Daphnia pulex: one gene and its partner. The protein of the gene in region 2 binds, or shares a complex with, the protein of the main gene of each other region. Links are inferred from orthologs where the notes say so. Each region holds a gene or a part of one and is shown on either strand. Other genes may lie near its edges.

Region 1 (6,675 bases), on a different chromosome or scaffold from region 2:
TATACCGGCGGAAGGATTCCAGACGCACAAATTGTGGGTGTGACTTGAGAAAGTTGCGCCTGGAACGAGAAGCATTTCTCTCTCTCCCGCGATGACGAAACCCCCCCGTCCTGCTAGATGATCAGCTCCTTTGTGGAACCACTATGGAAATGAGATGGCACGCCAACAGCCAGCCAAGGGACGGGGTCACGCAAAAAGCCATTTCCCGGCCGTGCCAGCTGGAAAGTGCCACACACTCGGGACACCGCCGCAAAAGGGTCAGCCGCCATTTAGCTAATGAGCTGTCTGATATTCTTGGCCTTTGAATTTTTGGTGTGGCCTCCTTTGAAGAATTTGTTAGACCTCAATATGAGATAGAAGGTTGGATCCCATAGATCCTTTTCAATTCCTGCAGGGCTCCTCCTTTCGACTGCTCCCAAGTAGGTGTTGAGCATCAAAGATATCGCTCCTGAATCGCTTTTAAAACCATCTAAAACCCCCGCGCGCACAAAAAGATCATCAGGAATCTTCATTCTTCTTCTCGTTTGTATTTTTCCCAACCGAAAATAGACGCGGTCCATTCCAGGATCGATTACACATCTTTGAGCCACCAAGGACAAAAGAAAAGCAAAAACAAAATTGCGGTGTGGCTCATCGCTGACGCCGTGCGTGCGTATCAACGTTCAAATGTTGTCCGTTAAGACTCATCGAATAGTTCTCCCAGCAATCCCTGGGCTTCAAATGAATCACACGCTTGTAGCCCAGCTGAAACATATCAAGCCAGTATATATCGTGTGTACAAGTAAGTAAGTGTGTGTGTGTGTGTTTGTCTTGAAGTTGTCGGGACGATCGACACCCACCGCGCCCGCATCACCGACACAAATAGAGTCGTGAGTCAGTCGCTAGGTAAAAAGAGGCTCTAAGTTTAGCACGGCCGTGCTCCACATTTCGCTCCTGCCACGGACGCTAGTCGTCGACGGTCTCCGTTTATAAAAGAAAAGAAACTCAAAATCGGGTCCAATGGGCTGCTACTGTTGCCCGCCGGATGCCCCCACACCACACACTCTGCGAGCTAGAAGAAATGGGGTTCTTGTTATTTTCCAAATGGGCCAAAGTTTTTCTCTTCTTGCCACTCGGACCTATACATATAAGAGACCAATGTTTACATTTGAATGTTATGTTACGATATCCAAGAGTGTTGTGTGTGTGTATAGGTTTCGTGGAAAATGTTTGACTCTAGGAGAAAAGAGCTCCAAGTTTCTTCTTTTCTTTTTCTCCAGAGTTCCGAGGTGTACAGCTGGGCGACGAGCTTGTTTTAAAATTAAACTCGCCGGGTCCGTGTTATCTAAAAATACACCACCCCTTTTTAGTTGCATTTCATTTTATTGACTCGACTGGGAGAGGATGAAAAAAAAAATAAAAATTTAAAAAAACCAACCCAACCGACGATTTGCAGCACTAACACGATATTAGAGGCCTGTTTGTGTCATTGTCAAATCAATATGCGGGGGGGGCTTTGATACGTCGAAACTGCTGGATCTGCCGAGTGGTGGGGTTGGCTGTCGGGATCCTCGTGTGGGCTGTCCGGAGAGATCATCTCTCCCGTCTAACGCACAACTGGAAGCTTTTCTCAAGGACGTACGAGTCTTGGCAATCGGCCTGAGTGCTGGGCCCGTGACTCTTTTTCTTGACATGCATTATTCAAGAGTGTTGTTGTTGTTGTTGTGGTATATTGTCTATACGTGGGGCCAAACATATAAATCATCACGCGTTCGGACTCTCTCATCAAGGCTCTCCGGTTACAACCGTCGATCGAGAATTGATTATGTCTATGTATGATCGGAATCCTTTCTCCATGCATCAAGTATACAGGCACGATAAGACTGAAATTTCATAAGTCTCGGGGAAAATGATTAATTGTTATTTGTGTTAATAGTCGTCGCTGTTTGATTCTTCGTCGTCGTCGGAGCTCGAATGGGTTGATCGCGGTGCTGGTGGGGCCTTGGTGACGTCAACTTTGCCGCTGTTGAGCAGCGATGGATCGTAACCTTCTGCTCGCATTTTCTGCTCGACGGCCATTAACGGAACCCCAAAGGCAAGCATTTTGACGAACCGAAGGATTTCGGGATTCGGAGGCGCCACCGCCGTCTGGTGGACGCTAGAAACATCTTCAGGAAAGACTGGTGGAACGGCGGATGGAAGGATCTGAACGCTTGCAGCCACTGGTACAGATTCTGAGCTGGTGGCAGGCACTGTAGGTGGGATGGCCGGTATTGAAGTAGTTTCCAGTGCAGGAACTGAAGCCAACTGTTTTCAAAAGAAAAAAGAATCAGCCATTCATTGTCTATAAATGATAAACATACCCCAAAGTGATACACTTGAGTGAGTTGGCTCGACATGTATTGTTAAATAACTGAGTAGGTATGGTCTTGCTTAATCTAAATTTGTTTCTCATGAAAATTTAATTTCATACCAATTTTCCCTATTTATGCATCTTTAAAGAAGAGCTGGTGGAATTGAAATGTTTAAATGAAGGAATTTACCTTTGCTTCGAGAATGGCTAATGTGGCTTCAACATCTTGTAGTCGAAAGTTGAGATCCAGCAATTTGGTATCACATATAATTGCAAATTTGTTTAGTAACTGAACTGAATTGGAAACAAACTGGTTGAAATAGCTCAAAATTCTTTTAGTTTCGATGGGCGGAACCTGTCAAACATTAAAATGTGTTACTGCCATCATCCAATTTAAACGAAAATGAAAAATACAAACGAACCGAAGAGAACTCGACAGTAGGACCGAAAAAAGGTAGTCCTTTATTTTCCATCCCTTAGTATTTCTTCCTTGATTAGAACGACGTGGAATATACGAATTATTAAATCACATCCATGGGATAAATGTCGCGTTTGATTGTTTTGTTTTTCTTCTAGCAGACGACACAGAATCCATCCCCTTCAGGCGCAGCGGTCGAATTATTTGAGGAACAAGGCAACTCTGTTGTTCACTTGCAATCCGGAGGAGAGAATTCTGTCTCATTTCCACTTCGTTCGCCTGTTCGTCCGAAAATGGTATAGTCTCGTCGATTTAATATCTCGCAACATCCTTTGATATTTAACCATCTTATATGTTTATATAGCATCTCTTTTTGCAGTAGAATTCGATGATGTTTATTAGCATTCTGTGTCAATTGGTAGACTTTTCGTTTGACTGGTATAAAATCTGTTTTGTCACTCTGTCTGTCATATGGATACCTTGACTAGACATGTTATTTTGACTGTTAATACTAGCATTACTTAAAAGTTTAAGGTGTAAATTTCTCTTTGTAGTTGTAAGTATGTGGTTGTTAAGTATGTTGTGCATTTAAACTGTCATAATTTGTTGTCGAAAACACCGGCTCATGACTTGTTGATCTCGTTTTAGGTGAACGTACCAAAGAGTCGTCGCACCTACTGCAAAAAATGCAAGACCCACAAGGTCCACAAAGTGACGCAGTACAAGAAATCCAAGGAGCGTAGTGCTGCCCAGGGTCGTCGTCGTTACGACAGAAAACAAAAGGGTTATGGTGGTCAAACCAAACCTATTTTCAGGAAGAAGGTATGAAGACTTAAAGATTGGTTCACTTGAATTGTGTACTAATGCTTCTCATTGTTGAATTACGCAGGCCAAGACCACTAAAAAGATTGTCCTGAGGATGGAGTGCTCAGAATGCAAAGTCCGCAAGCAGATCCCCCTCAAGCGTTGCAAGCACTTTGAACTTGGAGGTGACAAGAAGAGGAAGGGACAGATGATTCAGTTCTAGACTGTTTGTCATCACCTTGTGCTGGCCAATACAACATCTTTGGCGCCTATAGTCTGTTATTAGTCTTCATTACTTTCCTTAATCCCTATGATAATGTAGGGAAATGGCTCCATGCGAGACATTTGGGTATTTATTGATTTCAAATATTTGCTAGGTGAAAAATCAACCAATTGATTCCAAGTATTCATGTGAGAAATCTGCTAGCTTTAGTTAAATCTAGCTTTGCTCTTAGTAGTTAAGAGTTGCCTTAGTTTTTATCCTAATTAGCTCTTGAAAAGTAGTGTGAAGCCCATCACGCCATCTGTGAGTGATGATTCCAACTCGACACCACAATCGGACGGTTAGACTGAACGCTTCGATCGTCTAAAAAGCGATAAGGAAAACTCTTCGTCATTGGTTGACGCGTTCGCGGTGTACATGTCGAAGAGAAAACGAAGATTGTAGATGGCGAGAGAACAAGAATAGAAAAAGAGTGAAGCATTCAATGGCGTCTGTTAAAATGCGTGTGAACGAGTTTCCGGTCATTCTTAGTGTACGAGAATACTTGAAAAATGTCGTTGAAGAGTAAATAATTTCGAAAAAAAAGAAATGACAAGTGTGTTATAAACAAGTCGGTTACGAATTATAAGAGTTTTTCCATTTATCTGTTTGATGCAAACAATCTAGTTGTAGACCACGCTTTGAGCGTCTGTAGGGGATAAAGAGAAGATAAGGCTATTATCTTTTAGTTGGAAGAACGTCAACTACCCGGTATTTTCGGGAGATGAGGGAGAGACGTGAGATGAGCGTTTCTTTGTTTTCTGGTTCGCGCGGATTCTCAATCCGCCGCCTAGACAACTACTACCCATGATATATAAACCAGTAAAAATATGGCCGGTAGAGGGGTTAAAAAATCACGCTGGTGGTGCAACCGACGTCTAGTGACGTGCTAGTTACTAATCTGCTTCGGCGAGTTTCTCATTTATCTTTCGGCTAACCGATTCGAAAACAAGAGTTTTATTTTTAATTCGAAAAATTTCAGTGGGAAAGTTTCCGAGTTGAAAATCCCAAGTACGAGAGTGAGACCACGCTACACAGAACCGGCTTTTTCTCGCTATGCTTGAGGGGATATTCGACTTGGTTCTTTTTTGACCACCCCACGCTTCACTCATTGAGTATACCGGTATAGTATAGTAGTGTATATATGCATACATGCGAGAGATATATATATATATTTTAATACTGGTGGTAATACCTTGGAAGACCTAGGAATGGAGAGAAGGAAGGGGAAAAATGGACTCTCCAAGCAGAGCCATCTGGGTAGCAGCGTGGCTAGCCCAGCGCATATAATATATCGACACGGCTATATGTTCTCTTTGGAGAGCCGAGTTTTTTAAGGTACCTTTTTCCAACCCCACCCTACCACCCCCTCTACCCCCCTCTCTCCCCATAATGAAAAGAGTGGAATGGGCGGAGTTTATCCAGCTGGAGCGCTGGTATACAACAGGGGTCTTGTGATTCGATCTAGACGCCACGAAATGCAAAAGGGACGCGCTTTGCCACCGAAAACCCGAGGCTAAGGACAACCCCCCCGCTAGAGGCCGATACAAGGCGATGCAAGTCACCAAAGACTTGGGGCCCCACCAGTGTGCTCTACACCGTCCCGTCTATAACACCTCGAAAGCAGAGACTCTTGCGAACGCGCCAAACTTCCTTTTTTAAGGCACTCTCCATCTTCTCTTAGTCTTTTTTAAAATAATTTTTCGAACCGGTCGAGCAAAATCCACTCGATTTCGTCTCACTTAAATATTCACGCTCAACCAACCAACAACAACACACCTCCAAACAAAATGAGTTCCAAGGAAGCAACGAAGGAAGTTGAAGCCGACGAAGTCATCGCCGCCGACGCCAAGAAAGATGCAGTCAAAGGCACAAAACGGCCAGCAGAAGTAAGTTCCATCTTTTTGTTATTTACTACATTGTCTTCATGTCGGCTCTGAATAAGTCTGTAACGAGGAAATTTGTTGGAAAAGAGGGGTTTCGTTATGGCTAAATTAAGGATCAACTCGAGAACCCACGCGCCGCGTGCTTGCCGCCATTTGTGTGTGTGTGTGTGTGTATGTGTGTAGTGTGTTGAGTGCGTGTGTCTGGGGCCGGCTTGAGCCCCACGCTCTATCCCGTCGCCATGACTGTTGTTGGAATATTTACTCTTTAAGAAAAAGGGATCGTAATCATTAGATATTTGGGAAATTATGTGACAACTATTTGGTCAGAGTCGAATTCGAGCGTTGGACTCGAGAATTTTGGCGCGTTGAGCAGAGTTGCCGTTGAGTTTGATAGCCTTTCACTTCTCTCTCGAAAAGCCGGTGTGTGTGTGTGTGTGCGCGCGATGACGCGCCGCCATGTTTGTCCTTAAGCTGGGGCTGCCTTAGCTTCCTTCCACCACACACACATAACTTTCCATTTATTTGTTATGTTGTACATGATAGTTTCTTCAGGTCATTGTCCCGTCGTTATGACATGTTTAATAAGTAATTTTTCATGCATTTGATACATGTCGTGAATTTATTTTCACTGAAATTGTTAATCTCCAGTCACACACACACGACCGGCAGTTTTCGGTATCGAACCGATGACGCCAAGCGGCCGGCTTTTATTTCTCGTTGGTGGTGCAGAGACTGCGCGCGGGCATTTTGACAGCGACCAACAGCGTTTTTACTCGTTTATCTTTCACAGCCTAAAAATGCTCAAATTAAATTGATACAAGTTTAGTTTCACGTGTCATTTTTAGGTAGTTATTTTGATAGAAACCGGCAGGTGGCTTTTTCAGTTTTTAAACTTTTATTTTTCATTATTTTCATTTCGACCGTTTTAGTACCTCGAGGCAGTTTGGCCAAAAACAAAATGTCAGGCTTTTTT
Region 2 (7,802 bases):
TTGATTAACATTTTTCTCTTCGTGCGATGTGATTGACTTGACGACATTGACTTTTCTCTCGACTGGCCAATAATAATATTTGGTTTTTCGGTTGTTGTACACTTTCAACGAACCGTTAGATGGCACCAGGGAGAAGCTAGTCATCCGAACCTGTACCCTGGAAAACGTAAATATATAAATAATAATAATAATATTATAAAAAACAAACAAACAATTTGAATTTTTTAAAATTACAGATGGAGAACCAGTGCGGAGAATTCAAATACGAACACGAAAGTCTGGCCGGATGCATTCTGACTTGCCAGAGCGACGGATGCAATGCGGCAACCAAAAACCTGATGCTGCCCAGTTTCGCCACCGCTTCCTCATTCTTCCTCATCTACAGCGCAATAACTCTACTAGTCAACGCGTCACCATCAGCATCAGTCTGATGATGAACCGGAAAAACAATTTCCTAAATGAAAAATTCAACGTACAATTTTTAAATAATTCAAGTCGAAAATTTGTTTTCTTCCGTCGTCATTTCTTTGTGGGGTTTTTCTCGATCCGAAAAAATAATCCTTTTTCCATTGTATTTAATATTAATTGTAAACAAAATGAAAGTAAATGAAAAAGTGTTTCACCGCTTTCGATTGGTTAATTCTAATAAACTTGTTCGATCCACGACGGTGTTATTTGAGAATGTGAAAGAGACTAGATGGAAGATGCTGGAATAACGGGCCGTTCGTGGCGGAAAAAGATCCTGGCGCTGTTCAAGTTGTAGAATAACAAATCAAATTCCTGTCAAACGAATAAAAATCATAAAATTATGTGACAAGGATTTGATTTCCAGCTTTTACCTGTCGATAAGTTTCTAATCGGTGGAGGGTCAGACTCAGCGTGTCCTGACTGGCCTGCGATTGGAGTCCGGCCATTTTCCTTTCGCGCTCGAAAAATTCCCTGACGGATGAGAACCACTGCAGGGCGTCGAAATCCTTCCACTGGTCCAGAACGGAGAGGCAGTAAGCCAATCCCATGGCCAGTCCGTCGTCGGTGAAGGTGCACGTTTCCTGCTTGTTCTTCTTCATCAGCTTCTCCTTGCAGGTGACGATGTGTTCGACGTAGTTGACCGTCAGCGGCGGAACGATGACGTAAAAATGGCGCAAGTGAGAGTGGCGAGGATCGCGGAAAAACGGCCGGAAGACGTCCACCAGCAGTTTGAAATAGTCGGAACTCTCGGATAGATTCTGAGCCAGATCGTCCAGCACCTTGTCCAGGGCTTTGCTGGACAGTTCGGATAGGCTAGAGAGAGCCGGATTAGATTTAGCTAAGGATTCGAATAATCCATCGGCCATGTCCATCGTATCGTTGTGGTTTTTAAGGCTACTGGCACTGCTGCCCAGTTGATGATCCAGTCCAGTTTCATTGAGATAAACCAATTCCGCCAAATCCGGAACCGGAGCTGGCAAAAAAAAAAATAATTCATTTTGTGTTGAACATCTTTTTAATCCGGCCGGAATGATGAATAATACCACAGGATTCGGCACTGCAATGGATGGATCCACTTCTCAACATCCTGACGTAGCCCAAAGCGTTTCCGAGATGGGTAATGAGTATGCGGAATTGGTCCAGATAACTCAATCCGATGGAATTGAGTCCCAATTTGCGGATGCCCCGATGGAACTTCTCGGCGCGCTCGTACGGATATCGGAGTGCCGAATCTTTGCCTTGGCTCAGCTCGCGCAAATAACGAGCATCTTTCATCAGCCGCGACTTGATGTGCTCGTCGTACAGGAACCTTTTTTGGGCGGGAAAAATTCAAACGGTTCAACATTTAAAAAATAAAATAAAAGTCTGAAAATTTCATTTACTGAGAAAAGACGAAAAACTTTTTGCGGAGAAACTGGTAGGTGAAATTGACGGCCGTGTTGACGACGCCGGACCCGTGGGTCCTGATGGAATTGGCCGCGTGTTTGATGCCGATCGTGCTCAAGTGTTTGCTGGTGCTCGACTGCTCGACAAAGAACTGGTTGTTGAGATTGTAGCCGAAACGGGCCACAAACAGGTGAATGTTGCGCATGATTTCCAGGACGTCGAGCCCTTGCTCCAGGGTCTGGCTGGGCAGCCGGTCGGGCAGCGGCTTCAGGTTGAAAGCCAATCCGGCCAAGAGTCTCATCTGGCCGTACTTGCGCCAATCGTGAGAGGCCAAAGCGGCCAGATTGTAGAACGTCTGGCCGAGATAGTGTTCCACCCGGTGGGGAACGCTCAGCTGCTCGTGCCGGCCCAGGGGCAAGTCGCCCAGGGCGCTCAAACAAGGCGACTCTTTGAACGGGTTGCGGGGCGTCGGGTGGAGATGGGCGTGCGACTGGATCCGTAATTCCGTCTCGACCGAGGCGCACAGGGGCTCCAAAATATGGACGTCCAGGGCTCGGCGGATGAATTTCTGATGGCCTTCCACCAGCTGTCGAGGATTGGCCAGATGCTTGACGCTGGCCAGAGCCGATTCACAGTCCATGACGGCCATCAGAGTCTGTCCAATCCGGGACGATTCGAAGCGTCTTTCACGGGCTTCCGGCAGGTAAGTGTTGAGGAGAGATTTGTGCCAGTAAAAGACTTCGCAATCGGCCAGGTAACTCAAGCGGTGGCGTATGCCAACGGAAAGCAGCTCCATCTTCTGGAGGCGATGGGCCAGCAAGGACAATTCTTCGTCCTGGAAGGCGGTGCAGGCTATGGCCAGCGAAATCCTGGCCGTCGAAACACGGGATGATGTGCAGGGACCTTTCAGGACTCGCTGGGCCAACGCCAGAGCCGCGCTGACCGTCTTCCGGGGACGTTTCTTGCTGCTCTTCTCGCCGGCTAATCGCTTGGCGGCCAACTGGACTACGTCGGAGACGGAACGACGGAGCTGCTGTTGCAGGTGCATCCAGGCTTGAGGGTAATCCGTCAGCTGTTTCTCGATGGCCTTTTGCAAGGTCTTGATGAGCTCAAACGTCTGAAAGGCGGCCATGACTGTGCCTTTGGAAATGACTGGCTGGATGGCCAAGTGGAGGTTCAATATCAGACGGACGACGCCGCTCAGTTTGGCCACGTAGCGAAGTCCCTGCAGGACCAAACAGCACTGATTGGTCAATTCTTCTTGACTGTTGACGTGCTGGCCGCTCAGCCTCGACAGCCAGAGGACGATTTTCGTGTTCCACATTTGAAGGTCTTTGGCCAGCTGCTGGGAACGCTGGCGGACGTACTGGAACCGGGCAGAGCCGACACTTTCCAGCATTTTGCTATCGACGGCCCGGTCTCCACGGGGTAGATAGAGCGACAAGAATTGGTCAGGGAACCACAGACACGACCCGACCAGAGGGACGGCCATGATGGAATTTTTGGCGACATCCAGGATGGTCTTGAGCTGGCGGTTGTCCACTTTCAGGCCAATGTGAGCGTGCAGGACAAACAGGCAGACGATGCTGAGGAACTTTTGCATGTTCTCGTAATTGTCCCGCTCGCCTTCCTTGTCCAGACGGAACGATAATTCTTCGAGGAAGCCCTTGACGTTGGCTGAAATCTCGTCCAGCAAGACTTTGTTGTTGCTGGTGGGGAAACTCTGGTTCATGCATCGGAGGAAGAGCGTGCCCGAAAGAGTTTTCTCGGTGATTTCGTCGAGCGACAAGTCCAGCAGCCGCAAATCTTCCGGCGTCGTGTCGAAATTGGAGGCGTTGTGTTGAATGGATCGAACTACATGCTGCAGCTGAGCAACATGTTCCCTCAGCAAGTTGTTTCGGTTAATGATGGAATCCAAATTCACAAGGATTGACTGAAAAGCAAAGAGTGTGTGTTAGTTTCGGGATATTTTTGAGAGAAAAGTTGAGAATTAAAATACCAGCACACATCCCATTCTTTCGAAAATGATTTTGAAATGGGTTTCGCCAATCTCAAAGTATTTTGGTCCAGCGTCTGAGCTGCAGTACAATCTTGAAAGCTGGCCCACCATGTTTTTGATCACTTTGTAGCAATAGTTGACGTAGCTCAACAACTTTTGCAATGTTTCGACCATTCTACCGGCACATGCATGGCCCTCTCCAGACTGCAGAGCTTTCTCGTCCACACCCTCACCGTAATAGAGGAGAGGGTAATAGAAGGACCTCCCCTCTTCAACCAGAAAGTCCATCTCGCTGACTAAATGCCCCAAAGCCAGGACGACTTTTCTCAGCTCTTCGTGATCAGAGTGGACAAGGTCGACTAGGGAGATGTCTTCGCTGGGAACTAAATCCAGACTGACTGTCTGACTGACATTTTCCTTGCTCAAATTTTCGTGAATTTGACACACAGCTTCCAGATCCGAGCCACACTTGACCATGAACTCGCTATATTCTCTTGCAACATATTCTTTGGCCACCTCTACATTAAAAAAAGGGCAAAAGATTAGTGAAACTGATTACCACAACTAAAAAAGAAACCAACTCACTTTCTGCGGCATATCTCCCATACTCGTGGTTGGAAACTGTCGAGTTCCCATTCATCCCTACCATTTTCAAAATCAAAGCAACACGATATTTCAATAAAAATCAATTAAATCATTTAAAAAACGCCCGTGACTATAATAACACGTAAACAAGCTCTGGAAACACAAAAAAATAATCTGAATCTTCAAATTCTCGGAATACCAAAGTCGTCTGCTAGATCACAAAGTTGCCAGATGGGATTAAATCGAAACAGTTCCAATTTTTCCAAATTGGTTAATTTACATCTTTCGATGATGTAACATTAGTGTAACAAGGGTATTGAGATAACAAAGAATAACTGTGACGTAACAACTATAAATGGTCAATCGAAAAACATTTTGATGTGTTTCTGGCGAAATGGTTTCCCACGGTCTAAAACATCGTGAGAAAATAGATTACGGGGAACCTGGGCCCAGCAATCGATTGGGGGTGGTGGATTAATCTCTCCCCCTCACCCCAATCCAATATGATGAAAACTAATGACGCCGGGTTGATCTTGTTTTATACAACCCCAGTGGGAATTACGAGAGGAGTTAGACGGTGGGGTGAATTATTCGCACCACCCCGAAATGTCTGGGTGGGTGCCACATTCTTTCCTGGACAACCGTACTACTGGGCAAATGGTGAGAAAAAAGTGAACGCGCAAGGTCACCCACACCGGACAGGTCCAGCAGCAGTAGCATAGATATACAGCGGCTCGATTTAAACAACCCACCTGAGATATGCCAAGGGTCTCGACGGATCGGACATAGCGGATGAGGTGCGAAATCGAAGAATTTTCTCACGATTCCGCCCCAGTACCCAAAAATTATTAATTGTAACTTGTGAATCTATATATCCTGGGCGCCCGTCTTTATTTTATTTCGCTCCACCCACACACAGACATCACCCAACCCTCTTGGTCCACCTAAGTATATGTAGCCGGACTGGGTGGCCCAAAGTATTTATTCCCGTTCTGGCCATCGGCCGAGTATCACCACCAGCTACTTGCAGCACCACCACCAGTTCTTTTCAACTTTTCAAAACTTTCACAGTCAATTTATCCCCCAAACAGAAAATCGTAACACTTGTACGGCTTTGTTTATATTTTGTTAGTTTAGTGGCCGGCCAGTTCTATGTGTGTGTGTTATGGTGGCTCACTGATTGATTGATTTCTTCCCGAGTGATTGAGAGGATTCAGTGTGTGTGTGTCTATACTGTTAACGGATTTCTTGTATCTAATCAACTCATCGCCCAATCAAAGAGAATGCGCTGTCACTGGATCAGCAGTGTCTTATTCCTGGCCGTCATCACCATTCCACAATTCGCTTCGTCCACTTGGTGGTAAGTTGAGAGATATCGTTTGTGAGTGAGTGCTGGGCTTAAGTATATAGATTTCCCCCTACCTGGACGGTGAAGCGGATGGGAAAGGGGTTAACCGATTTAGGGAAGTTGCACTAGTGCTGGATGGCCGGCAACGTTTATAACGAAATTTTCTAGGATAGTGAGAAACGGTGACAGCCATTTTGCTAGGGTTGCTTCTCTATGCTATATAATCCTGAGGGTTGAAGGGTGTCTCAATTTCACGTTCGCTCGATTGCGTCTATGCGATAAGAGCGTGAGTGCGTGTAAATAAGGCTTCCGTAATTACTTATAAAGATACCACCGCTCAGCTCAGCTCTCGTAATAAGGTAGAGACCAAATCCCCTGGACTATGTGTATAGGTATCATCATAGCATATCGGTCAAACTTTTGGGCACGGATATTATAAACCAATTAGCATATTTTAACCAAGAAAATAAAATAAAAAAACCCTTTTTCTGATTTTATTTTTCTTACCATTTTTTGGCCCAGGTTTTTGAGCAAATTTCAACTGGGCACGGCGGCTAATCCGCGGATGTATTGCGATCACATTCCGGGCATGGAGCGGAAGCAGAGACGACTCTGCCAGAAGCATCCGGATCACATGGTCCAGGTTGGCGAGGGAGCCGCCACCGGAATCAAAGAGTGCCAATTCCAATTCCGCCAGCACCGATGGAATTGCTCCACCATCGACAGGGACGCCACCGTCTTTGGCAAATCCCTGGTCAAATGTAAGACTCTAATTTATCTTGTATGTACATAAATTTAAAATAAAACTAAACTTGAATCATTTTTTGGGGTTTAAACAGCCGGAAGTCGAGAAGCGGCTTTTGTGTACGCCATCAGCTCGGCCGGCGTGGTCCATTCGATCTCTCGGGCCTGCAACCGCGGCGACCTATTGAACTGCGCCTGCGACAAGACAAGACTGGGCAAGCACCACGACCAGCAAGGCGAATTCGCTTGGGGCGGATGCTCCACCAACGTCCGCTACGGAAGCAATTTCGCCCGTCAGTTCATCGATGCCCGCGAGCGCAAGATGAGAGACTCAAGGGCCTTGATGAACCTCCACAACAACCGAGTCGGTCGAAAGGTAATTTAATTTTCACTGGCAATTTCAATCGAAATTAACAAATTATTCAACTAAAAAATGAAATAATTAATAGTTAAATGAATTAATATAAATGAATTAAATGAAATGAATTGATTTGAATTGATAGGCTCTTCACAAATTGATGAGGCATCAATGCAAATGCCACGGAGTGTCGGGCGCCTGCAACGTCCGCACTTGCTGGACGACACTTCCGGAATTCCGCGAAGTCGGCGCTTACCTGAAGGAGAAATACGACGCCTCGCTGGAGGTCAGTTCCGACCCGTCGGGCACGACCCTCATCACGGCCGACCATCTCAACGACAACCGCAAGAGTCTCAAGACCAATCCGCCGCAAGTTCACGATCTCGTCTACCTGGAACACTCGTCCGATTACTGCTCCTTTGATCCCCTCACTGGTGAGTTCAACAAAAAATGCTAATTTGATTCAATCAAATTCATTTAAATATTCAAATAATATTTAAATGAATTAACCAAATAATTCTTTATTAAAATATTCATATGAATTAAAATTAAAATATTCAAATTAGATTTAAATTTTATTATTTAAAAAATATTGAAATGAATTAAAACCAAATTATTTATTTTTAAATTTAAAATAAAGGTTCGATCGGGACGGCCGGAAGACCGTGTAATAAAACCTCGAAAGGTATCGACGGATGCGATTTGCTGTGCTGCGGACGCGGTTACGACACGAGGCGAGTGCTGGTGTCGACGCCGTGCAATTGCACGTTCAAGTGGTGCTGCTCGGTCGAGTGCAAGACGTGCACCCAGTGGAAGGACGAGCACTTTTGCAAGCCGCTGCAGTCGTTCGAACTCAACAAATTCAACGCCACCAAACAGCAGCAGCAGAATCAGAAGAAATGACACAACCGAAT

The links.
Region 1: WASH complex subunit 4-like (region 2) and WASH complex subunit 3-like share a complex: the UniProt entries of both Homo sapiens proteins name them as parts of the WASH core complex. The link is inferred for Daphnia pulex from reciprocal best matches to the Homo sapiens genes WASHC4 and WASHC3.

The regions. Positions count from the first base shown.
Region 1 is NC_060025.1:877,363-884,037, reverse strand, and holds WASH complex subunit 3-like, read right to left. Parts: upstream 2,916-6,675; 5' UTR 2,806-2,915; coding exon 2,755-2,805; exon of another isoform or gene 2,688-2,754; coding exon 2,523-2,687; exon of another isoform or gene 2,482-2,522; intron 2,401-2,481; exon of another isoform or gene 2,287-2,400; coding exon 1,909-2,286; 3' UTR 1,794-1,908; downstream 1-1,793. Other genes in the region: 60S ribosomal protein L44, read left to right, coding at 3,044-3,046, 3,399-3,572, 3,640-3,777; bacchus-like, read left to right, coding at 5,607-5,705. UniProt on the Homo sapiens protein: Acts as a component of the WASH core complex that functions as a nucleation-promoting factor (NPF) at the surface of endosomes, where it recruits and activates the Arp2/3 complex to induce actin polymerization, playing a key role in the fission of tubules that serve as transport intermediates during endosome sorting.
Region 2 is NC_060026.1:1,372,466-1,380,267, forward strand, and holds WASH complex subunit 4-like, read right to left. Parts: upstream 4,678-7,802; 5' UTR 4,503-4,677; coding exon 4,439-4,502; intron 4,372-4,438; coding exon 3,854-4,371; intron 3,788-3,853; coding exon 1,851-3,787; intron 1,778-1,850; coding exon 1,512-1,777; intron 1,442-1,511; coding exon 840-1,441; intron 781-839; coding exon 694-780; 3' UTR 559-693; downstream 1-558. Other genes in the region: uncharacterized protein LOC124204736, read left to right, coding at 120-166, 237-431; protein Wnt-2b-A-like, read left to right, coding at 5,722-5,798, 6,309-6,547, 6,626-6,906, 7,034-7,322, 7,529-7,791. UniProt on the Homo sapiens protein: Acts as a component of the WASH core complex that functions as a nucleation-promoting factor (NPF) at the surface of endosomes, where it recruits and activates the Arp2/3 complex to induce actin polymerization, playing a key role in the fission of tubules that serve as transport intermediates during endosome sorting.